Danio rerio: one gene and its partner. Each later gene encodes a partner of the first gene's protein in a complex. Links are inferred from orthologs where the notes say so. Each region holds a gene or a part of one and is shown in the gene's direction. Other genes may lie near its edges.

Region 1 (3,655 bases):
TCCCACATCAAATTCAAATAAGAAAATAGGATCTTAGTTTCTGGCCTTAAATGAATTGTATAATAGATTTTAGTTGTAATGTCTCAAAAAGTGCACATTTTAAAGACAACATCCGGTTCAGTTTCCAGGAGTTTGGCACTCATGGATCAATTCTGGCAGAGAGCGAGTATGAGCTGAGAATGATGGCTGTGTTCAATCATGTCCTGGAGGAAGTGGAAAATCTAAGCAGGAAACACCCTCCTGTTTCTTACCTGGTACTGCGTTTCTAAGAGTATCCATCAGCCAACTTATACTGACTGCAATATGTCTGGAGTCACTTTTCATGGATTTAATTACATAGTAATTTTCTAAATTTGTCATTTCGGTCTGTTTTAAGCACACCGGCTGTCTGTGTGATACTGTCATAGCCATCCTGAAAATACCACTGTCGTTCCAGAGATATTTCTTTCAGAAGCTTCAGTCCACCAGCATTAAAGTGAGTGACCTGTACAATGTTGTTTAAAAAAAAAAAAAGAATATTAATAATGTTTACACTCTAGTTTCAATTTTATTTAGTCTCAACCTTAACTTTAGTCTTTACTCTTTTTTTTACGCAATATACTTATATAGAATGCAGTTATAAATATATACATACACATACAAATATATAAAACATACAAATTTTTTCTTTTTATATTAAAAAATTGATTTTTTTTTTTAATAAGGTTAAAATAATAATGTATTTGTTACATAAACATTACATTTATTACTGTATTCATCTATTTTACTTTAGTTATAAATTCATTTGTTTATTTGTTAGTTCTTCTTAACTAACTCACGTTGTTGGGCCTCATGGTGGTGCAGTGAGTAGCACTATCACCTCACAGCAAGAAGGTGGCTGGTTTGAACCCCGGCTGGGTCAGTTGGCATTTGTGTGTGGAATTTGCATGTTCTTCCCGTGTTTTGCATGGGTGTCCTCTGGGTGCTCCGGTTTCCCCCACAAGTCCAAAGACGTGCTTACTGCTTATAGGTGAATTGGATAAGCTAAAAATTGTCTGTGGTGTATGTAAGTGAGTGTGTATGAATGTTTCCCAGTGATGTGTTGCAGCTGGAAGGGCATCCGCTGCGTAAAACATATGCTGGATAAGTTGGTGGTTCATTCCGCTGTGGTCCCCCCAGATTAATAAAGGGACTAAGCCTAAAAGTAAATGAATAAATTATATGTATGTGGAGTCTAAATTGTTCATTAACTAGCAGTTATTGTAAATTAATTCCAAATATCAAATATTCCAAGATATGCAATGTTGAGTCTGAATTATACTTGACCCGGGGCTACAGAACACATGATTTGAAGTTTAACTATAATATAGTGAAGGTTTATCATTTGCATGTGTTTTTAAGGCCTGTGAGTAAGTATTTCAGAAGAGTTGGACAGAACATTTGGACAGAAAAAATTAAGACTTTTGGAGGTGCATTTAATTATGAATACAGAATTTACACGATTTAAGCAAAAAAAATTTAAAATCTTATATTATTGTTGTCCTGTTTCCAGTCCAAATATGTACATTGCAAAGCAACATTAGCAAGATTAATTTACTTACCCCTTTGGCAGATCATTTTGCTTGTTTTAAGGAAAAAAAAATTATTTTTGATTTATTTCGTCTGAAGTCGAAAACAAAACAATATTTTTTCTTGACCTAAGAACTTTTAGATATTTGGACTAAAAATGAGACAAAGCAACGTATAAGGATTATTTGCTTTGTGATTATTAAATTGTTGTACCTAAATAGTGTTAGACTTCAAGGAAACCATAAAATAGAGTTATTTAAACCATTTTGTGATACTGTATCCATATCGCAATATATTGTTGCAGAAAAATATAATATTGCAAGATCAGATTTTTCTAATATTGTGCAGCCCTAACCTTTTCCTCAATAAACTACTTATTTGCTGCTTATTATTAAAAGTATAGTAGTAATTGAGTTAAGAATTAGAGATTTAGATTAAGATCATATTTTAGAAGTACTAATTAAGCCAATATCTAATTAATATGCAGGTACTAAGCCAGTAGTTAATAGTGTGAATTGTTAGACAAACTAAAGTGTTACCTGTACATTAACTAGCCGAGCGTTATTGTAAATTGTTTCCAAATATCTAAAATAAGCATATTTATTTTAAAAAAAAGTAAATGTCAAAGTTTTAACACTGAGATAATAGTTATTAAAATTCTAGTAATAAAATAAAGTCAGTTGTTTATGTACTAAAGATTCGAACACTTGTATCTATTGTTATCATGGAAAGTCATGTAAAACATCTTTTGTGTCTAATTCTTAGCTTTAGTTTCAAGAGTTTCAAACTGTCTGAAAGAGGAGTTACGTTTATAAAAACTATACATGTTTTTTTTTCTTCTTCTAGCTTGCTCTCTCTCCATCTCCCCGCACACCCAATGAGCCGATCCCAGTGCAGAACAACCAGCAGCTGACCTTAAAAGTGGAGGGTGTTATTCAGCACGGCTCCAGTCCGGGACTCTTCCGGAAGATTCAGGCAGTCTGTCTTAAAGTCAGCTCGACGTTACAGACAAAACCAGGATCAGACTTCAAGGTGAGCTCAACACAGAGTACAATACTTACACTCATTTTATTTCTTATGTTTGTTCCTGATGGTCTATTTCAATCTCAATTACATTTTATTGCAAATAAAATCAAGCCAAATTAAAGAGAAGAAAAGATTTAGATGATTAAGAAAAAAAGAAATAGTTTGTCCTTCTAATCATTAATTGAAATCTGAAATGCACTTTCTGTTTGTTTTTTGTTATATTAAAAGTTTACGTGATTTTGAGGTAATGAGAGTGGCAACAAACAGAAATGGTGAGCAGGAGGTGTCTGTTAGAATGTAATAATTCTTCCCAAACTTTTTCCCCCATCTTCCTTAATGAAATGCCTACTTTACTACTCCCAATCAGCTCACAGTAGAAAAAAACAAGCCACACCCACTGTTTTCTCATTTAACATTCAATTTTTCAAGGAAATTCATCACAATCTGAAAAAAATAATGATAGCAGCTTCCGTTTTAAGAAGCATTTAATACTTTGTTTGGGGAGTTTAGAATAGAGTTCACTCCCGTAAACAAACACCTTATAAGGTCTGTTCACACCTACATTTACATTTAGCCCCGTTTACACTAGTGCGTTTTAGTTTTAAAACAACGTTTTAGAATAAAAACAATCCACAGTAGCGTTTCACCCAGCGTTTCTGAACAGCTCTTCGTCTACACCAAACCACTGAAAACGCACATCAGGTGACCACACACACACACACACACACACACACACATTGGCATGCGCTGCAGCATATCCACCCAGATGAGAGCTGTGCTCGTCAAACTGTTTATCAAGGATCTAGGCTACCGCTGGATCTAATCTCACTATATTTGCTAAACATGATATTTAATACACTTTATTTTCTCACTTTAACATCGAGACCAGCAGCCTGTAAGTACATTTAAGACTTGTTTCAGTTGTTGTGTATGGTTTGAGGACTTGTTTTCAGCTGTTTGTGTAAAGTTGTAGGACATTTAAACTTGCTTTCAGTTGTGTATAATACTACAAGTGTTTAGCCACTGTTTCCTTGGTTACTATAAGAGCTTGGGTAGCGAACGCGGTCGGTTTCGCGACGTC
Region 2 (4,126 bases), on another chromosome or scaffold:
CAAATTTATTTATGACTGATCAGAATGAATCCAGTTAGACTAAATAGAAGTGAAGCATGTCGAAATCAACAAAATGCTTAGAAGACCTATAGATGTGTGGCACTTACCTTTTTTCTGGGATGTATTTGATTGGTCTAAGTGACTGAATAATTCTGAAAAATTATTCGATTCGTCTGATATATTTAGAACAGCTGTTTTAGTGACAGCGCCAGCTACTTGAAACCACAGAGAGATAGAAATAGCATCTATGCGGTGTTATTATTGTAAATGCTGCTGTTTGGATTCTTATTGTCTAACCCCTGCGATCTGGGACAAGAACCCCCGTCACACCAGAACAGCCAATCAGCTTCTTACACTCGACAACACAATTATGACGCTCCTACAACGCATTCTTTTGACCCCTGTCAACAACGCCATAACGGGCAAGATATGCCGTTAAATTCGCACAATAAATGGTCTTGGATGGTTATAGAACAATAAGGTTTTGAGAGTTTGTTACGAGACGTTATTTACCTATTTGGTCAAGGATATTTCAATTTTACGCACTACGTAGCATTTCCTTGTGTTACATTTATTAGTGTCCGGCTGATATGATTTTTAAGCTGGTTGATAAGCTCGCATTCCTGATGATTTTAATATATTAATACATAGTGATATTTTTAAAATAATTTGCAGGCTGAAATTTCATGTCGAGGTGCTGTTGGTGAAAATGACGGCGGAAACGAAGCGCTTATGTCGGTATGATTTAGTAGAAACACAAAAGCGTCATTAGAAAGAAATAAAAGAACAGTCGGCAAACATCATTATGATCACCAGTTATCCAGTAGGGGGCACTTGGTGGCTCAGAATGCAAAGCGCTATCAAGCCATCAAAATCCTGCAGAGAAATTTAAGAAATTTACAAATGTTAGTAAATAGAAAACATGTGTCTAAGGCAAGTCCATTAATTTCTAATAATTTGGTACATAATTCTCACCAACAGGTTATTTTTAATCTAACAATAAGAACTGACAAGCAGTAAGAAAAACAACAACTATCACGTGACAAAACCGTTGGCGTGTTGCTTCATCTTTTATGTGAGCAATAGTTTAAATAGGACACTTTTTAAAATAAATATTGTTTTTACAAACAATTTTTAAAACATGCCAAAGAGAGATAAATTAAAATGTAAATTAGCACAAAAACAGAAAACAGATTCATCCGACCAATTAGAGACAACCTCATGGCCACTAAGCCACGCCCTATTGAGGTCCCCATACTTTTCAAGCGCTTTCTTTCTACTTGCTCTATTTTAATTCGATACTATAGTCGGATCATTTCAAGCATTGCTAAGTTAGTTAATTTCTGCTAAGGATAATATCTTGTTTTTTTTTTACGGTTTATAAAAACGTTCCTTAAACAAAAGCTTGAGCACAATCCGGTGTCAGTAAGTTCATGTTGCTTTTGTTAGCTCAGAAAGACTAGATATTGTAGAGTCTGAAATGAAGCTTTTCTAGTGTTATCCGAGAATATAACATCGTAAACTCCATAAGTAGAGGGCCGGGTCATTTTCTTATGTTAAATTAGATAATAATCGCTAAACAATGGCTGGGACAGTAAGTCTAGAGTTAGACCCTATCTTTCTGAAGGGACTGGGGTATCTTCACTCCAAGAGCAAAGACTCGGCAGAGAAACTCAAGGCCCTGCTAGATGAGTCTTTAGCCAGAGGCAGTGACTCCATCTATAGGAATTCAATTAAGGTGATCAAATCAAGAAGGTATTATTTTTTTGTTTTTTATTAGTAGATTTTAAAAAAAATATTTAACTCGTTATCCATTGAATAGGAAGCTGAAGTGAGCAAAGTGTCATTGCCAAAAATGACAAAACAAGACTCCAAATCCTCCTCAAGTTCCTCAGCGTCATCATCCATCACCACCACCAGCAGCAGTAAATCAAGCACCTCAGAGAAGTCCAAGAAAGAGAGCGAGAAAAGAACTTTGGAAAAAGTCAGTTTGCACTAATATTCATTTATGATTGTAAATGTGACATGACTGGAAATTCTCAGCATAATTCACTTTTGAATATTTGTATGATTTAAAGATTAGGGTTGATCCTGGAGAAGGAGTGGAGCCGCCTAAGAAACCTCGTTTAGAGAAGCAGGACAGTCATTCCTCTCCGATTGCTTTTCAAACCAAGGACATTCCCATTCCAGATTTCACAGATATTGATGAAACCAACGCTGATGACTTTGCCATGGAAATGGGTCTTGCTTGTGTGGTTTGTCGGTGAGTGATGCCACTTCTGATGGAGTTTTCTTCGAATAAGTAGCTATATGTAGTGGGAATGTGAGTGTGTTAAAAGTTACAAAAACACACAACTATTGTTGTTTACTAACAGGCATTAATTTACTCATAAAAATCTGTATTCATTTGTTTGTTCAATATTCATCAGTATCTTTCTTTATGTTTATCAGAAGAAAGATACTTCAACTAAAGGTTTAGAGCAAGTAAAGCATGAGTAAATGATAATTTATTTTTTGATGTTATTTGTGAGTGTTAGATAAACTTTTTTGGATTTTTTTTTTTGTGTCATTACACTGATGTCGTTGATGTTCTCTGAATCTTTAATTTATTTTCGGCCATTTTAATTCGAAATGTATCTATATTTCTCCTCTCTCAGACAAATGACCGTCACTTCTGGGAATCAGCTTGTGGAGTGTCAAGAATGTCATAATCTTTATCATCAAGAGTGTCACAAACCTCAGGTTACTGACAAGGATGTGAATGACCCGCGACTGGTGTGGTACTGTGCTCGGTGCACCAGGCAAATGAAACGAATGGTGGGAAGTGTATGACAATGAATTTTATGCGTATCACTGAAATAATAATGAAATATTAACTGTTATGTGTTTTTAATATCTCAGGCCCAAAAGACTCAGAAACCACCACAAAAGCCAGCTCCTGCTTTGGCAACAACAGTACCTTTGTTGAAAGATCCGCTAGTCAAGAAAGCTGAACTAAAGCCAAAACCTGAAACGACAGGTTCATTCCAGGCCTTTAAGAGAACAGAAGTAAAGGTAAGTGTATTCACAGCAGCATAGCAATATTAACTTCTTTTCAATGATCTGATCACAAGTGGTCAGCAGAAGGTCATTTTCACCTGGTATTATCTTAGGTTATAATGTGTTCAGACTTATCTAGATCCATTCTTTTCATTTTGTTGTTTTCTTCACATTGTTCACTTTAACAGCATATTTTGATTACATTTTTATTCCTAGTCTTTTGATTAAAATCAAATTTAGTATTACTAGTCATATTACTAGTAGTATCTATATTCTACTGTAGATTTATTTAACTAAATCTAATAGTTGAGTTAAATCAAATAAATTACACACATCTCAAATTTCTAAGCTTATTATGTACTTCTGGAGAACACACTTATAAACATGAACAATATTAAGGTTTGAACAAAAAAGTATTTTGGTGTCGCTTTAGCCCTGTGCAATGGCAAACCGAAACAAGTTCAAGTCTATTCATGTCTAAAACACCAAGTCTACACAAATTTACATTTTTTTAAAACTTATTTTTATAAAAGCGTAAAAACAGGCGAAAGACCATTTAAACCCCAGGCACTGTTATGGCCCGTTTCCACTGAGTGGTACGGTACGGTTCGTTTTGGTACGCTTTTATGGCCATTTCCACTGTCAAAAGGCATACCGAACCAAACCGTACCGTACCACTTTTTCGGCACCCTTTCGAAAGGGTCACAAACTGCAGAAAGGGTCCCAAAAGGTGGAGCTACATGCGCAGCTGAATGCTATTGGTTAATAGAGATACGTCATTTGTAGACTCAACAAGCCAGAATGTAAACAAAGGACCTGCCATGTTTAAAATACACAGCGAGAGATTACACAAAATTATATCTACATATGCAGCCATAGTCGATCCGGGCTCAAACAAACCCTGTCGCCGTCTTGTTAAACAGCCACAAAGCCATGGAGAAGAGCAGATTTACCCTGTGCCGCGTAGTTTTTTTACGAGCCAGTCTGAAGCCTGAGTGGTTTCACTTTTTTTCCTTGCGCTCGACGCGCGTTATCTGAAATAACTAACTTCTTTAGCTGATAATAATAACATGCGCTTGATTATTGA

Evidence for each region.
Region 2: ints7 (region 1) and ints12 share a complex: the UniProt entries of both Homo sapiens proteins name them as parts of the integrator complex. The link is inferred for Danio rerio from reciprocal best matches to the Homo sapiens genes INTS7 and INTS12.

Annotation. Positions count from the first base shown.
Region 1 is NC_133195.1:14,300,048-14,303,702, reverse strand, and holds part of ints7 (integrator complex subunit 7), read left to right. Parts: intron 1-121; coding exon 122-254; intron 255-376; coding exon 377-475; intron 476-2,394; coding exon 2,395-2,580; intron 2,581-3,655. UniProt on the Homo sapiens protein: Component of the integrator complex, a multiprotein complex that terminates RNA polymerase II (Pol II) transcription in the promoter-proximal region of genes.
Region 2 is NC_133176.1:28,088,527-28,092,652, reverse strand, and holds the start of ints12 (integrator complex subunit 12), read left to right. Parts: upstream 1-1,278; 5' UTR 1,279-1,582; coding exon 1,583-1,738; intron 1,739-1,822; coding exon 1,823-1,984; intron 1,985-2,078; coding exon 2,079-2,263; intron 2,264-2,657; coding exon 2,658-2,817; intron 2,818-2,901; coding exon 2,902-3,054; intron 3,055-4,126. UniProt on the Homo sapiens protein: Component of the integrator complex, a multiprotein complex that terminates RNA polymerase II (Pol II) transcription in the promoter-proximal region of genes.